Linked DNA regions of Oreochromis niloticus. The protein of the gene in region 2 purifies or fractionates together with the protein of the main gene of each other region. This does not show direct contact. Links are inferred from orthologs where the notes say so. Each region holds a gene or a part of one and is shown on either strand. Other genes may lie near its edges. The genes, in order: pgd and acaa2.

The links.
Region 1: the proteins of acaa2 (region 2) and pgd fractionate together in Homo sapiens (co-fractionation; 3 studies listed by BioGRID). This does not show direct contact. The link is inferred for Oreochromis niloticus from reciprocal best matches to the Homo sapiens genes ACAA2 and PGD.

Annotation. Positions count from the first base shown.
Region 1 is NC_031984.2:22,177,493-22,186,492, reverse strand, and holds the start of pgd (6-phosphogluconate dehydrogenase, decarboxylating), read right to left. Parts: upstream 3,959-9,000; 5' UTR 3,809-3,958; coding exon 3,801-3,808; intron 3,375-3,800; coding exon 3,299-3,374; intron 3,212-3,298; coding exon 3,032-3,211; intron 2,939-3,031; coding exon 2,873-2,938; intron 2,791-2,872; coding exon 2,672-2,790; intron 2,587-2,671; coding exon 2,517-2,586; intron 2,398-2,516; coding exon 2,263-2,397; intron 2,154-2,262; coding exon 1,964-2,153; intron 965-1,963; coding exon 834-964; intron 577-833; coding exon 443-576; intron 1-442. UniProt on the Homo sapiens protein: Catalyzes the oxidative decarboxylation of 6-phosphogluconate to ribulose 5-phosphate and CO(2), with concomitant reduction of NADP to NADPH.
Region 2 is NC_031977.2:25,890,584-25,899,353, reverse strand, and holds the start of acaa2 (3-ketoacyl-CoA thiolase, mitochondrial), read right to left. Parts: upstream 3,650-8,770; 5' UTR 3,501-3,649; coding exon 3,485-3,500; intron 545-3,484; coding exon 378-544; intron 283-377; coding exon 154-282; intron 1-153. Other genes in the region: mrpl40 (large ribosomal subunit protein mL40), read left to right, coding at 3,955-4,016, 5,017-5,100, 5,294-5,449, 6,638-6,719, 6,836-7,063; lg12h22orf39 (synaptic plasticity regulator PANTS), read right to left, coding at 7,835-7,966, 8,056-8,223. UniProt on the Homo sapiens protein: In the production of energy from fats, this is one of the enzymes that catalyzes the last step of the mitochondrial beta-oxidation pathway, an aerobic process breaking down fatty acids into acetyl-CoA.

The DNA.
Region 1 (9,000 bases), on a different chromosome or scaffold from region 2:
CATTAGCTGGCTGGTGACTGTACACTGCAAATTATGAGTGTTAAATGTGCGATTACGCAACGACTGTGCCAGATTACAAAGTAAACCAGTGTCACAATCACAATTTCCTCATTCTTCTCTCTCAATATGATTTTATGGGAAGAGTCCTTTTGTTCCTCTCTTTTCTCACTCCAACATTACAACACAACGCATTGACAAAAAGGTGATTTTATAACCTTATGGCACTGCATAAAGGTTTTTCTTGCACCTAAAGAAACTGCAGCTTAACTCAAATGTTCTTAAATCTTACTCAAGCAACAAAAACTTCTGTTTTAGTCGAGCTTTCTTAACAAGGGCTCTCAGACACCCTCGCCCCCACTGTTTGGACAACAGTGTTGAAACTTTTGCACAACATGGAAGTGAGGCAAACTTCTGCTGTGTGGACACATGAGGGCAAAAGTACCTTCGAATGATGCAGCCTCCTCTCCACATCAGGGCGATCGCACCGTAGTTGAGCGTCCAGCCGAACTCTTTGGCTGCCTGACGCAGCAGCATGAATCCCTGCGCGTAGGAAATGATCTTGGACGCATACAGGGCCTGGACAAATGAAAACATAACAATTTTCATATTACTTTCACATTTTTCAATAGTAATTAGTCTTTTTTGTTTTATAAAAAGTGTTTAATTCGACAGAAGCAGCTAAAACTTGTAGGTCTGAAAAGTGTAATGTTTATTCATCACTTCTGATACCTGGTAATCTCAAAGGGTGCACAGACATTTTTACTTTGACCTCTCTGTGGCATGCTGCTCTAAACTGGCCCATTTAGAGTAAATGCATTTACTGTGTGTTTCACCTTTCTGATGTCTTCTAGGAAGGTAGCCTTGTTGCCGCTGAATTTGACCCCCTGTGGCCCTGACAGGCTGCGGCTGGCCTCCACTCTCTCATCCTTTAGAGAAGACAGACATCTGGCAAAGACAGCCTCCCCTGGGAGACAACAGGAGGAGAGAAGGGAGAGGAAAGAAGAGGGACAGCATTAGTGCACATACTACACACAGCGCTTTGAGTGTCACATAAACTAACTGCTCAGCTTCTTTTTTTCTTAAATAGTAATTTAGGTTTCCTGAAATCTCAAAAAAATGACAAAGCATTACATAGAATTTCCAAGCTGACAGTCACAGTGACCCTGTGCTATCAGCCAACGCTCGAGCGACAGCATGACTCAGCAGTGTTTGCAATAGGGTTTGGTAAAGCAGGCGTGCCAAAGCTACAGTAGACAAAACTCAAGGTTTCCCAGATTAGAGAGGATCGTTTCCTTGCCACTAACTGAGGAGAGTAGGAAAAAAAAACCTGTTGGGTCAGCATGACTTGCTAAAACCTGCACTGCTCTGTAACGCAATGGACTGAGTCAAACTGTCCTAGTGAGGAATGTGATCCCTGCTGGGTGAGAGCGCCTCCTGTGCATACTGCTTCGCCCTGATGGGCTTAGTTCTCACACAATGAAGCCTTTTATTCTGCACCCATCACTCTCTATTACAGCAGGGTATGCAACACAGACAGGGAACAAGCAAACACAGCAATTTAAAAAAATCTCACTTGTGGGTACATTGGATACATTTTCCATATAGTTTACCCTGCATGATTTTAAAGTTAATCATATAAAGCTTGCTTCTTGTTTAGGTCTGTTTATAAAACAGACTATGATACAGTCACAGCAAAGACCAAAGCCAAATCCCCCTTATGTCACCTGACATGCAGAGGCCATCAGAATAGCCTTCAAGCTTCTTACAGGCAACAACATATTGATCACATTCTCTAAAAGAAGCTCACAGCCCATGCTGTGTTTGCCAGCTGACAGATCAAAAGCATAAGCCCAAGAAATCTGATCATTAAAGGGTAATTTGATAAGTGGCTTTTGCGGAATTGGTACATGACACTAGCCTTTATGAGTAGTTCATTGCTTTAAGCCTCCTTTCTTCCTCTTACCGATCAGTGTGACAGGTGTCCCGTACTCGAGGGCTGAAATGGCCGTCCACTTCCCTGTGCCTTTCTGTCCAGCACTGTCGCGGATTTTGGGCAGCAGATGTTTACCGTCAGAGTCTTTGTATTTAAGGATGTTGGCTGTGATCTCAATCAGGAAGGAGTCCAGCTCCGTCTTGTTCCAGCTGTCAAAAGCCTTAAAAAACAAAACAAAAAATCAAAAACACATATTGTCTTTATATTTTACATAATTAATACTGCCAGACAAATGTGAAAGTGGTGTCATAGAAGTCCAACAAGCGCACCTGTGCCATCTCATCATGGTCCATACCCAAGACATCCTTCATTAGGTGATAGGCCTCACAGATCAGCTGCATATCTCCATACTCAATGCCGTTATGGACCATTTTCACAAAATGACCTGCACCCTCATCGCCAACCTGCTCAAGCCACACAATATTTGTTAGATGACTTGGCATAATAATAACAAATATATCTTTAATAAACATTAAATATACACGCAGATTAAAAAAAAAAATAAAAAAAATATATCACTCACCCAGTCACAACAAGGCTCTCCTGTTCCAACTTTGGCAGCGATGCTCTGGAAGATGTCCTTTATGTATGGCCTATAAAATAAACAATAACTTACACTCTGAAATTGATGAATGTTCACTGATTTTTAACACACATGAAATGAAGCTGACGACTTACCAGGCCTCTTTATGTCCACCAGGCATGAGTGAGGGTCCATAGCGTGCACCCTCCTCTCCACCACTCACTCCACTGCCAACAAACAGCAGGCCCTTCTCTTTCAGACTCTTGCACCGCCGCTATAGGATAGAAGTACATGAGCTATGACGATATCCTCTGGAATAAAGAGGTTTTGTTCCACAGTGAATGTTTATGACTTACTGTCGTGTCTCTGTATTCAGAGTTGCCACCATCAATGATGATGTCCCCAGCCTCAAGAAGAGGAACCTGAGAATGAACAGATGTAGTACAAACCCAATAAATATATGCAGGTTGGATGCAGTTTCCAAACTTTAGCCCAATTCAGGACTGACTGCTCACCAGCTTGTCAATGAAGTCATCCACAGCCTGTCCAGCCTTGACCAGCAGGATGATCCTCCTGGGCTTCTTGAGCTTGGACACCATGTCTTCCAGAGATTCTGCTCCAATCACCTTGGAGCCCTTAGCCTCGTTCTGCAGGAAGTCATGCACCTTGGACACGGTACGGTTGTAAGCGCAGACCTGTTGGAAAGATATTGAATGAGTGAAAAAAAGTGGAACAGGTTATGCAGGGAGTAGCAGCAACACACACAGGAGGCATCAACTTACCACAAAGCCGTGGTCATTCATGTTCATGATGAGGTTCTGGCCCATGACGGCCAAACCAATCAGTGCAATGTCTGCTCTGAGGAAATAAGAATCACATCACAGGTGAGAAGATCGGATAGTCTGGCTTCAGGGTAATTATCATCAAAACAGCCTTCTGTCTAGTATGCATCTAGTCATCCAGTGTATTTTTATTTCAAGTAAATTAAAACATGGGCTTCAGAGTCCTCACTCCGAAGATCCCTTTAATTTCCCAGAGTCCATAGCGACCATCACCCAATTCAATGCTGCATACACCACACATATTTTTACTAAACTCTAAAGCTGACCCCGGTCAGATAACAAGATAACAGCACCGTTAGCATTAACTACTAAAGAAGATTACTCTCAGCAAAGGAGAAAAACAAAAGAACCTCAACTAGTAGTTATAACCTTTCTATTGCCCCGACTTTGTACAAAAAAGAAACAACAGAAAAAGAAACAAAGAAACTAGTGAAGGACTTACTTGGCCATTGTGTTCTGTAGGCAAAGTAACTGTAAGGTAACTGTGTTAAAATGACAGTCGAGCTCGCACACCGGTCCTTTCCCTTAGATTTCCTCCTTGCTCGTTTTCCACTTCCTCGTTCTCATCTAAACTTGACTGAGACTCTTAGGTACGCCCACGTAGAGCAACAACCAATCGAAGAGCTTCCTGCAAACAAGCCACGTCCAAGACTAAATTTGATTGGTCTAGAATTCTGAGCAGAGCTATCGCTTCTCCTGTTGGCTCCCCCGGAAGTCACTCACGAAGCGTCAGTGCACGCCATACGTCTGCTTGAAGAAAGACCTGTTTCAGAAATGAATTTTCCTCTTTAAGTATCGCTATACAGTCAAACTTGTCTTGACTGTATAGCTTAAGAACATCATTTTGACTTGTCAGTCTCCCAGTTGGATGCCTCGTTTCTACTGGCAGCGGTCAAATCCGTCAGACCTGAGAGCTGCGCTTGCGCCACAATAGACTATATGTCTATATATCTATAAGTTCATGAATCCCTTTTTCTTTTTCTCTGGTGAATATCTGAACAAGTACATTGTGTATTTCATCTTTTAATCACAAATGCGGAAGATATGCCCATTGTTTAGCTGTGCGTGGCACAAATGTTTTTCTTATCACAACATCTAAATTTTATGATTTCAGTATAATGATTACACGCCCAGCAAGTTTTCTAAAAGAAGAATTGCCTATATATTTTTAGTAGATTATGCAACAGCACAATCAGTAATAATTTCAGTGCATATGCAGTCAATTTTCCTGTTGCTAACTAGCTCAATGCATTACAGACAGTTAAAGAGAGGATAGTGTACACATTGATTCTTGTCATGTTAAGTTATATTTCCCACGTTCTGGCACAGAAAGATGTTCTGGCTGTCTTTGTTTGAAATGTTTGCCTTTTCTTCTGTATAATGGAAATAAATGGCATCTGAAAAACTGAGGACCAGTGTGCAGAGTGTGTCGATGGGTGTTCCTGTGCTGTGAACAAAGTTTGTTTAAAAAAAAAAAGAAAGAAAGAAAAACCCAAGAAAACAAATCATCTGGAAGAGAGAGAGACAGAAAGTGATTGCTGAGCTCCTTATATACCTTCAGTTAAGGAATTAAGCACAGTGACAAATATTACTCTAAATAGGCCACTCCCCTAATCTAAATAGTCACAATAACCTGTAAGCGGATATGGAGGACTAAGGGCCATCACACAAATTTATTCAGAATAAAAGTTGTTTGTGTTTCTGTTTTGGGCAATGTCAAAATTAATATGCACAACAGCAAGTACACATTAAAAATCATAGAAAAGACAAAGTTACACATGTCTTATGCTTGACTTTGACTTCAGTTTGTATGTGTAGGAGGGAAATACAATCAGAATTTTTATGTTACTGTCAAAATAATGCCTGTTTAGCTCGCTGTTTGAACAAGTGGTCATATGGCACAATCCAGCAGCCTGGGTTCAAGTCTGACCCTGGCTCTTGGCTACATGTCACCTCCACTTCCTTTACTGCTGCACTATCCAATAAAGGCAAAAGTATCCACCCTCACAAAAAGTTAAAGAAGGAAAAACACCCATGTTTTGTAAGCTTTTATAGAGTGTCTTGATGCGTGCTCAGGCATCCATGTAAGTAAATCAGAGACTGAAGGAGTCACTTGCATCAGAAACTTTTCTCATTGAAAACATTATGTCCAGATAAACACAATCAAGATTTAGGGCTTTTATAAAGTGCATATTGAGGGATGGTCATTCAAGATATTTAGCTGCCTGTCAATTGAATAAAAAACTAGAACTGTGTGAATTTATACATAAACGTGTTCACTGAAGTCTAGTGTATGTTAATATGTGGTTTCATGATTGCTTGCTGTCTTTTGGTCCTGCTTATACATATTGGTAAAATGTTTGAGATGAGATGGAGATAAAGGTTTTAAACATTTTAATCAGCCCACTCCTGCAAACTAAAACATATGAAGGTCTAAATATTTATCACAGGGGTCCACAAATCAGCAGTTTGGGAATAAAAAGTGCTTAAACTACTTTAATCCTCCTCTGCTGCAGTGCAGAAGGAACAACACTGATGGGAGCGATGAGGGTTTGTAGTTAAATTCCTGCTGTTACAGGACCAGAGAGTGGTCCTGTCCAGTAAACATCACTAGGATTTTGGAATTCTGGTTGCTATGACAGTACAGCATAACAGCACCATATCTGCAGGAGAGCAGGTCTGATCACACTTCTGAGGACACCTTTGAAGAGGTAAGACCGATCTACTGTTTTTGCTGATCTTTTTCTTGTCAGATTTCCTGTACAGTGTTAGGAAGTGGCTAAAATTATTTCCCCAGCATTGTTTTTCCAAGTAAATCACTTTTTTTATTTAGCTACACTGGAAAAACAGTTATGATGAAATGTCAGTCTTTTTGCTCTAATCAGACTCTTTAAATGTATTTTCATTTTGTACTGAATAATTTTCATTTGTAATTTTTCTTAGTTTAATGAGGTGTCAGTAATGCACTGAAAGAGTTAAGACTTTATTTTGTGGTACTAAAATGCTAGTATTTTGACTAAACTGGTTGATGCTGCCAAACAGATTTGCATTTTTCAAAATGCATTTTTTAAATGCATTTTCTAAATGTAGTTTGAAACATTTAGAAAGTTATAAAATGTGATACATAACTGTGTTTTATAATAGTTTTGTTAACTAACTTTGATTTGACTCTTTGATTTAATCTTGCATAAAACTAATACTGTGTTATGTTGTCACACCAAATATACCTTCTCCTCAAATCAAGTAAATTTAATGGCTAGAATAAGGCTGAAAATATTAACAGTACTTACAACTTGAAGACGTTTCCTGATTTATCTTACCTCTATAATGATTTCGATTTCAACTCAAGGCAGAAACAAGGAAGGAGCTGGATCCGTTATGTCAGCAGACGCAAGAGGAGAGGAAACAAGATGGGGCAGAGCAAAGGGTGGATCAAACAAAGGTACCAGAAGGCAGAAGGCAAAAACTGTGAGTATGAAAAAACATTAAACACTCCTGTCAAAAGGATAATCTACGTGAAAACCAACTTTTCAGGTATGACATTAGCATAAGACTGAAAACTATTCTGCTGATGAACAGAATCTTTAAAATTACTTCAGTTTTCGTGGATGGTACAGCTGGGTATGCCACAGGTTTGGAGTATATAGATATAAATATATTGGAGTTAATCCAAATACTAATGTGGCAAAATTATTGTTATTTAACCAGCATTTTATTATAAAAACCTATTGGATAACTTTTATTGTAAGAAACAAAAAATATCCCATGTATGAAACTGGGATGATCGAGACACATTTATTCTTTCTTTAATCACCACAATAGTTTCAGTTTGTGATAAAAATATTTGTAAAAATGTGTTTTGAATGCAGAGTTAGGCTTTTAATGTGTTAAACTTGCATTAGATAAGACAATGTACCACTGAACACAGGAGGGATTATTGCTGAAAATGGGTCTCTGAACACCTCTGTAGATATTCTATTAAAAATCATACATGATCTGTAATCAGTGTTAATATTAAGCATTTATATGATTATTTTTGATTAATTGCTGTGATTCAATCTGAAACCAAATTTGAGTCTATTCAGAAAACAAGACATTTCTAATTCACTCCAGACTTTTGAGCTGTAGTCTACATTGTAATTATAGTGTACGGTTATTGATTAGAGCAGATGATATGAGACTATCAGGAGAGACTGTTAAAAAGTTATGAGCTGTCTTGATGCAGAGAAAGTGGAGTTTGTCATCCTTGAGCTGCTGGTAGGATGAATGATGCTCTGGCTCTGTGCTCAAGTTCAGACATAGGCTTTAAGCAACCATGAGCCACTGATAAGCGTGATAGATTAATAAGCATGTATAAAGTGGACTTGTTAAACAGCTCTGATAGGAGAAAGTCAATGAGCACGCAATAAAGTGGACTTGTTAGGGACAGTTTACCATCAGCCTTGATAAAGTTGAACTTCATTTGTATTTAAAGACAGACTTTAAAGAAAATTCTTATTTGAAACTGGTGATAAAATCCAGGTCAGATACAGTTACATACAAGCATACAGTACACACTACTGCTCAAAGGTCGGAGGTCAGTTAGAAAAGTCCCTGATTTTAATAGAAAATTGGCTTGAATGTAATATCTCATGAAGTGTATCAGTAATGTTTTCACAGCTTGAATCAAATCATTCATCATCCATAAGTTGTGATGCAAAAATGTCTGGAGCCCATTTTTAGAGACAATCAGTCCTGTGTTATAATGTTCATTGAAGTTTATCAGGTCAGATGACCAATAGATGATAAGAAATATACTCTTACTAATTATTAGAGTTGAAAAGTGCTGTGCTAAGCAAAATTAAATGAGGTTAGGTTGCAGCTTGAAATTTTAACATAAAAGGTTCAGTTGGTGATGCATGAAAGAAAATAATTTTCTTCTAAAAATCTATTGGAGAATTCTGATTGTAAGAAATGAAAAATATTCAAAGAGTGAAACTGTTAAAAAAGTGAAGGTTTTGTGCAGCTGGGTGTTGCAGCCCCTTTACAGGAAAATGTAAACTTGGTTTAATGAGGTTAAAAACAACAACTGGGATGATCCAGACACATTTATTCTTTCTTTAATCACCACAATAGTTTCAGTTTGTGCTAAAGTCTCTTAAAAAGCTGTTTTGAGTGATAAGTTTGGCTTTTAATGTGTTAAACTTGCATTAGATAAGACAATGTACCACTGAACACAGGAGGGATTATTGCTGAAAATGGGTCTCTGAACACCTCTGTAGATATTCTATTCAAAATCATTCATGATCTGTGATCAGTGTTAATATTAAGCATTTATATGATTATTTTGATTAATTGCTGTGATTCAATCTGAAACCAAATTTGAGTCTATTCAGAAAACAAGACATTTCTAATTCACTCCAGACTTTTGAGCTGTAGTCTACACTGTAATTATAGTGTACGGTTATTGATTAGAGCAGATGATATGAGACTATCAGGAGAGACTGTTAAAAAGTTATGAGCTGTCTTGATGCAGAGAAAGTGGAGTTTGTCATCCTTGAGCTGCTGGTAGGATTGAATGATGCTCTGGCTCTGTGCTCAAGTTCAGACATAGGCTTTAAGCAACCATGAGCCACTGATAAGCGTGATAGATTAATAAGCAT
Region 2 (8,770 bases):
GTAGTACTCTCTAAGTGTCACTGTTACTACTTTAAAAAAAATCAATTTTCTTGTTTATATTTTGATAGGAAAACATTCAATACACTGTTTTCTGCTTTGAAAATCCCTCCTTTATGGGTCTTAGAGTACTATTTTCATCAGTTTAGTGCTTACCTGAGCGCCATTAATGATGGACTGGAAACCAGATCCACACAGTCTGTTCACGGTGAGAGCGGGCACTGGGATGGGTACGCCACACCTCAGACCCACATGACGAGCAATGTAGGGTGCATCAGCTGAGCTCTGAACGTAGGGAAGTGGATCAGAAACAAAATGTAAGATACAGTAGTCAGATCATTTATAATTAATCCTTTCAGTGTTGTATGTGTGATCAGTACCTGCATGACATTTCCTATGATGATGCTGTTTACAAGCTCTGGGACCACACCCCCTGCAGCGAGGGCAGCTTTGGCTGCATGTTCAGCCAAGTCTGTTGCACTGTGATCCTTCAGTACTCCACCATAGGTACCAAATGGAGTTCGCTTGGCAGCTACAATAAATACACCTAGGAAAAAACGAGCATTTTAGTTTGGAGTTAACACCACCCACCACTGAGCTACAGCCAGATTGTAGCGGGGGACAGAGAGAGAAGATTTGTGAAGGGATAATTAGCACTAACGCAACATGATTTACAGGGTGTTGAAATAGAGCTGCGTCTGATTTCTTGTTTTCAATTCTTTGTTGATGTTGATGTTGAAGTTAAAGTTCCTGTTTAGGTTTTCTCCTATAGTGTTTCTGTTGTTATTTCCTGACAGTGACTTTGATTTATTCCTTCATCGCTGTGTATGTATGGTTCACTAGTGAGTTTTGTTCTTCGTATTTTCTGATGTTTGGTTTTATGATGAGTACATGTAGCCACGGTCTTCCCTGTGTTTCTATTTGCTGCTTCCCTCTGTCTCATTCTGGTCACTTTTGTTTAATTGTCTTGTTTGGCTTATTAAATGTTAGTATGACCCTCTCTGTTACTTCCTATTTTACTTTAAAGGATTGTTTTCTTTCATGTTGTGAGTCATTTTTTCATCCTGTCTGCAGTCCCCTGATTCCCCCCATTGTTTTCACCTGCTGGTGATTGTGTTCGCCTTTGTTCCGCTCCCGCATGTTTCTCATCAGTGATCTCATTCTGTGTATATATAGCTTTGTCCTTCTTTTCTCCTATCTGTTTGGGTTGCTTTGTACAGAGGCCTGAGGCCTGTATAGCAAAGTAGGAGTTTGTCTTACCTGGTTAATGTCAAGATTACCCTAAGTTTTTTGTGTTATAACGGTGGATCAAGATGTTAGGTTTTGTGCAGGGAACTAAACCTGCTCTGGTGTAGGTTATGTTCCATGATAAAGATCAACAGGTGCTACCTAGTGACAAAATAATTCTCTATAAAAAATACTGTCATCATTCCTGGATCCTGGTCCTTCTGTTTCCATGTTGATCAGTAACTTTATTATTTCTTCCTGTTGGCTGCTGGTAACTTATTCATGCTTGTAGAACATTTGATTTATAGGAATGAATGATTCTAAAACAGTTCACCTATTTGTAGCCTACTCGCTAAGTGTATTTCAAATTTGTATGTAGACAAAGCCTCCATCTGAATTCTGTTTCTTTCATTTTTACTTGCTCTCAGACTAAATGCCTCTGAAGCAGCAGCTGAAAGAAAATCTAAAACTGTCACTAAAACATTAATTCAAGCTAATATTTACTTACTACAGCTGGAGCCCTGGTGAGGTTTTAACAGTCTGAGAGCAAGTAAAGAATAAATTAAAACAGAATTCAAATTTGGAATAAACTGAAACTCGGAATTTAGACCCATCTGCACACAGGGATCTGAGAAATCTTCCAGGAATAGTGATGCCATTTCATTTCATACCTGTCCTCTAATCTGAAGTAGGTTTTCAGGAGCTACTCTGGCAATATACCCTGTAAGAGATTCACCTTGGTGCAGAAAACCTGGGGTTAAACCTGAGGTTCCCTGGCTAAGATGAAATCCTGTTTTGTAGCACGGGCCTCAGCTCCTGTCAGGTTGGTGTATGTTCTTTTTTTTCTCTTTAAATTCACTGTTTCTGCATTTGGGGCCTGATTGATAATCTGCCAAAAATTGATCTGGAAGTCACAGCAACATTTTTGAGAGGAAAAAAAAAAAGGGTTTAAAGTTCACAGTACCTTAATAGGAATGATCTCTATTTTGAAATGCTGCACTGATGGACCTTTTTTAGTTTTAGAGGGACACTGAACTATCGACTAATGTCTGCTACGTGTCAGGAAATGCGGGATGCTTTGACCTAGAATTGAGTTTGCAAATATTATAGTAACACCTGACGCATACAGCTGGAGTCTGTTTAATGTTGAGTAATATGTTCCCTCCACTCTGAATGGGGGCACTGGACCAAACTCAGAGATTTGTGAATTAATAAAAATGTATTTATTTATAAATCCACTATAAAGCTTTTTTGACTAGTCATTTTGTTTACCTTTTTGAAACTGATAGGTTTAAGCAGAAAAGTTAAACATAAAATAATGCAATGAATTTGCAGCAGAAAGTATTAAAGAGGACTGCATAAGTGGTTAATTAGACAACAGTAGTGACAAGCTGTTGAAACTCTTTGGTTATCAATACTTTCGTGGATAATTACTTAGTGTTTAAATGGAATAATAACTCAAAGGAGTGATTGAATGGCTGGGCATGTAAGATGGGGGAAAAAATGTTGGGAGCTGCTGATATGTTGCATATAAAATGGCTCAATGACCAGTAATCCAAAGTCCTTATAGATAATTTCTTTAAACATTTACTCCATATTCATGATGTAATTGCCATATGAGGAAAAACTCAAATGAAATACTGCTACCCAACTTTTTTGATGTTCTATCCTTTTTTTCGATGATATATAAACACATAATATGGAAAAATACGAATAGCAAAATCAGGAAACACAATAATGCAAATTAAGTAATGTATGTGGAACATGCAATGTATATTTGTAATCTATTAAACAGATAATTAAAACAGATTTAAAGCACGGTTTCACCTTCACTTAGGTAAACGCATCACAGCATATGCTACAGCATATACCTTCAGCTGTAATATTCACACACATGAATATTACAGCTGAAAGCTGTAATTTTCTAAACCAAAAAAGTGTGGGCATAACAAAAGCAAACCGGTGTCCTCAAAGTTGTGAAAGGTTTCTGATTAAATGTTCAAATACATGTTTACAGTTTTGAGTTGAGTAGCAGGAAGGAGCAGCTGTTTAAATAATACTGCCACCATCTTGTCACCTTTCGCCTACATTGCAGTGAAACTATGTGGAAACGAGCCTTCTTTGCATATAAAATGAATAAAAAGGTCGATTTTAAAGCACTGTTGCACAGCAGTGTGACCCAGATACTTTCAAACGCCCCACCAGAAAATCCCGTCCCAGAGGTCTTACTGCTGAAATGAACTGAATGGTGTTTGTTTACCTCTGAGAAGTGCCATGATGCAGACTCAACAATCCAGCGATGACCGGATCAAAGTTTTAGGCTGATATCTCGCTGCGTGGAGGATATAAAAGCCTGAGACCACTGTGACCTTTCCCCCAAATACTGCAGCTCGGTAACGTTTTACTCCTCCATGAAGATTCAACAAAATATTTACACATAAATATCTACACAACGCAATGTTACTATTTTTTTTTACTGTTTATCTTATTGTTTTATTAATTAATATATTAGCGGATTATCACATATCCAATATCTGTCTCTGATTTTTTTTTTTCAAGCTTTTTAAATAAGCGAAAGTGCGGACGTTGAAGTGTGCGCCCGCCTGTTTGAAGCGTCATCTTTCAGCGACGTGTGTGTGGGGGGCTGTCACTCCAGGGGACGACATGTGAATGTTTGTTGTCCTGGACCCAAAACTGAGTTAAAGGAGGAAACGGAAACGTAATTAAAACATGTCTTTGGCTCTTTCGCGATGTCTTTGCAGGGTTTTATCGCGGCAGGCCATGCCGTCGAGGTGAGTGATTGATGTACGATGTGAACGAAGTGCGTTAGCTGTGTGGAGCTAATATAGCTAAGGTTATTCAGTGCTTTAATAGAGAAGAAGTGTGCTTGTTCAGTAACAAAGGTGATGAGCAGAGCTGTCGTGACTACAGAGGGATGTAGCTGTTGAGAGTATGGTTTCATGCTGAGAAAGAGTACAGATGCGATCTTTGCTTTGATACTGTTGATGGAGAAGTATAGAGAAGGTCAGAAGAAGTTTCACTGTGCATTTATGAATCTAGATAAACCATATGATGGGGTGCCAAGAGAAGTACCAGGGTGGTGCAGGACATGTATGAGGACAGATAAACAGTGGTGAAGTGTGCGGTAGGAATGACAGATGGGCTCGACCTGGATCAGCATCAGGGAACTGCTCTGTGCCCCTTCTTGTTTGCAATGAAGATGGATAGATTAGGTCAGTCAGGAGTCTCTGTGCACTATAATATTTGCAGACGACATTGTGATCTGTACCAAAAGTAGAGAGCAGGTGAAAGAGAGCTTGGAGAGGTGAATGTCTGCTTTGAAAGATGGGAAATGAAAATCAAAAGCAGGACAGAACACGTGTGTGAGTGAGAGGCAGACAACTGTGCTCATGAGGCTGAAAAGAGCAAAGATTGTGAAGGTGGATGGTTAAATACCTGGGGTTAAACATCCAAAGCAAATGACAGTGCACAAAAGAGATGGAAAAAGAGAGTGCAGGCAGGGTGGAGATGAGCATCAGGGGTGATTTGTGACAGAAGTGAAAGAGAAGGTTTACAAGATGGTAGTTGGAGAGTGGCATCAATAAAAAGACAGGAGACTGAGCCGGAGGCGACAGAGATGAAGATGTTAAAATTTTCACTGGGAGTGGCCAGGATTGAAAATGTTTGTAGACAAGCATCTTATTTGCAGCAAGGATAGTAGCACTCTTAAGACTGTCTTCTTCAAAGAATATACAAACTTAGTAGAGAAATGACCTGTACTCTATTCTGCAGCTCTCTGTTGGGAGAACATCACCATCTTGTACAGAGTCCTTGGTTTGCACCAGTGATGACCCTGAAGACATCTGCTCCACTGAGGTATGATTCAGGCTCAGGCTCACAAACCAAGTCATGACCGAGGTTTACCACAATTGTCATTTCATCAATATTTTAAATTAAAAACTTAATCCACCAATGTTATGATGGTTTGTGATGCTAACAGTACTTCTCAGCAAAGCTCTATCTTGTGGCTGAATATATTAACATAGAGGTGTGATCTGTGTTATTCAAGAGCTGAGCCAAAAAAGAAGAAGAAAGTTGACCCGAGAAGGGAACAGATGTTGAGAGAGCGCCTGAAAAAGAAGCTGAAGAAACTGGAGAAAGTTCCACCTGAGCTTATCCCCATAGAGGACTTCGTCACTCCAACCAAATGCTTGGATGAAACAAGGTGGAGCTCATTTCAGTCTATGTGCATAAATGTCATTTGAGATAATGAGGTCAAATTTGTATTGAAACATTAACTTACAGTGCTCAGTATGATAACACACATTAAATTTCTTCTTGTCAGCAAATGAACTAAAGCTGCTGGGCAGGTATGGATCATCAGAAGCAGGGCATTTTTTGAAGATCATTAGAACGGATAAGCAATGTGATTTTATTCCTAAATAGATCTGCTTGATCAACAGATCAAGCAGCTCTATAAATCCAATGTGTAAAATTAATGTGTCATGGCTCATACCACGGCATCCTTTGAGAACGCTGTGCTCCACAGCCAGTGAAGAAAATCTGAGCTGATGTCAACTCTGATGATTTCCACATCAGTTTAAAAATATTTTAATCTTATGTGTTTAAATCAGCTTTGTTGGATTGCACAAACTAATGAAAAAAAAAAGTCAAAAGCACTTATTGTGTGCTTTTTAAAAAAGTTTTATTATTCATGACATCTCACAGGTCAAGAATGGATTTGGCAATAATGCCCCAAGAGTGTTAACACAAACATTATCTATGTCAAGATAATGTAAATACTACTTTACTACAATTCTACAGGTCTCATTTACCCCATCGGATGCAGTTTTATCTACCCCGAAGCATTTTTCAACATTCATACACACTCCAATAGGTGCATTAGGGGCAATTTGCCAAGAACATTTTGCTGACTGGAGGAATCACAGACTGATCCTTTTGCCTTCTTTGCTAGACGACCAGCTCTACCACCTCAGCCACAGCTCATTTTCACAGAGAAATTGCCTTTGCAAAAGGTGGCTGAAGTTCTGAGACGTGATTGTTAGCTGATGTCTTCATAAGATAAGATAAGATAACCTTTATTAGTCCCACACGTGGGAAATTTGTTTTGTCACAGCAGGAAGTGGACAGTGCAAAAGTTATGAAGCAAAGATTAGAATAAAATAAGAATAAATACAGTACACAACTGTACATAATAGAATAAAATAAAATACTATATACAGTAGAATAAAATATACAATAAGATAAAAAGATAATGGTTTTATCAGTCTTTTTGCATTGAAGCTCTGGGACATTAAAACAGCTTTGAAACTTTTAAATTGCTCATTTGAATACCTTTCTTGGATAGAGCTTTTAAGTCCTTTAAATTGATGTTCATAATTCTCTTTCAAAGGGAACGCACTGCTCCAAGGCTGTCATTTGAAGAAAGTGAAGGTCGAGCCCTGCTGCTGAAGGAGTGGTGTCGATACAAACAGGTTACCACTTACCTATCGCACCTGCGTCACTAAAGCTTTTATGGAAAATGTTACATCTGACCCTGGCTCTCCATTGCATGCACTTAGTGGGTTGTGTCTGTCTGATGTTCTTGCAGAAGCAGCACATGGCTGAAGTGGAGGCTGTTGAACTGGCTTTGGAAGCACAGAGGGAGGCACTGGAGGAGCTGAAGCTGGAGTCTGAGGAGCTGTATCGGGCAGCGCTGAAGCCTGACCCGCTTCTTATTCCCTTTGTTCACGAAGGTCCCACATATACGCCAGCAATACCCAATTATGACGCTCCTGATGGGAAATACAACGATATCACTAAAGTTTACACACAGTGATAGATGAGGAATGGCTGTGTAGTTTAGTGTGTCTGAATGTTATTCACTAAGCAAAAATGCAGCTTCTGCGTCTTTATTCCTTCATTGTCATTCATTGTGTGAGAGTTACAGTGAGTTTGTGTCACATTAATATTTCTGTCTATAATAATGAAAGAAATCGAATAAAAATTTACATCTTTTTATTGATCCAGTTTCCAGAATCTTTTTGAACATGTCATGTTATAAGGCAGAAAACTGCTACACAACTCTGGATTCTGTCATGTCAATTTTTCAGTAAGATTAAACATCCCATAGACCTGACTCCAGCATCAAGAGCTACATAATTAACCTTTCTTAAAGTCAATTCATATGCTTAGCAGCTGACAAATACATATAGGCCTACCAGTACCATGCAAAGACCTGGCTCTTCACCTTTTTCAAAGAGAATGAAGCAGATCACTGATTACATGGATTGATTATATATCCTGTCAAAATAAGGATAATATAGAGCTAATTTTCACAGAGTCTCCGAGTGCAGTCGGTCTTTGTGCTTAAGTTTACACAAGCTTTGCAGAATTAGTACCTATGACACACCAGCCTGCCTGGAAAGAGATCATATTCACTGATAAAACAGAGGCTGAATCCTCATCGCTGACCACTAGCTGCTGTTAGACATACTGTACATATCATTTTACATACAGCAGTTCTCTGAATACAACTCATGACAGCTCGTGATCACAAGAATGTCCAGGCTCTTTAACTGAAACACAGCATGTTGTCAAAACTCGATGTTCAGGAGTCCTGAGGCTTCTCCTGGTTCAGTGGCACGTGCCAGTCTCTAGGAGGCTCCTGCCTGAGCTGCCACACTGGAATGAAGTTTCTTTGCTCTGCCACTCGGATTTTCTCACTTCTCCGCAACGCCTCCTGCAAGACAGATACAGTGAGTGTATTTATACAGCCTGGAGGGGATCACAAAGTCACCCATTTAGGACTTTAATTTCTTGCTGTTCCACCTTAGCCTCGGTGCCTCTATGTTTCTCCCACTCTCTGCAGTTATGGTAGTCCTCTTTCCACTGCTGGCAGGACGGCACGGTACCGTAAGTGTAGTAGTGGTGAAAGCAGTTTTTTAAACTTTTGCAGTGTCTAAACTCACTCCAGTAGTCTTCACATGCCCGCGGTGGCTGTGGCGACAAAGCAAACAAACATGAGAATAAAACTTTAAACTTCTGTTGGGATTCTGGTGACTGACATCAGTCGAGGTCTTCATTGTCTCCCCTCCAAAGGATGAAAGTAATGCAAGAGCAACTGAGGATCAACCTTTGTCCTTCACCTAGGCTAAAAATACAACCTCATTTCATACTGAAAACTCACCACGATGTGACATCTTTTGCGCATGCGGGCCGCTTTGAGCGTTCACACTAGAGCGCGTTTGCTGTCGCATTTTATTTGTAGTGTGAACGAGCAGACAAAAAAATCGGATTTGATCAAAAAATCGGAATTGAGCATTAAGACCTGCAGTGTGAACGTAGCCTTTGTTGGGTACACCTGTCTAACTACTTGTTACTAATAAAATAATCAACCAATCACATGGCAGCAACTGAAAAAGAGGAAATATACAGTGAGGGGCAGTTCTCTAAGCAAAAATACCTTGTCAACGTCAAAGGAGAATAGCCAGACTGATTCGGACTGAGAGGAAATCAACAGGGACTATCAAAAGTACCACCAAGA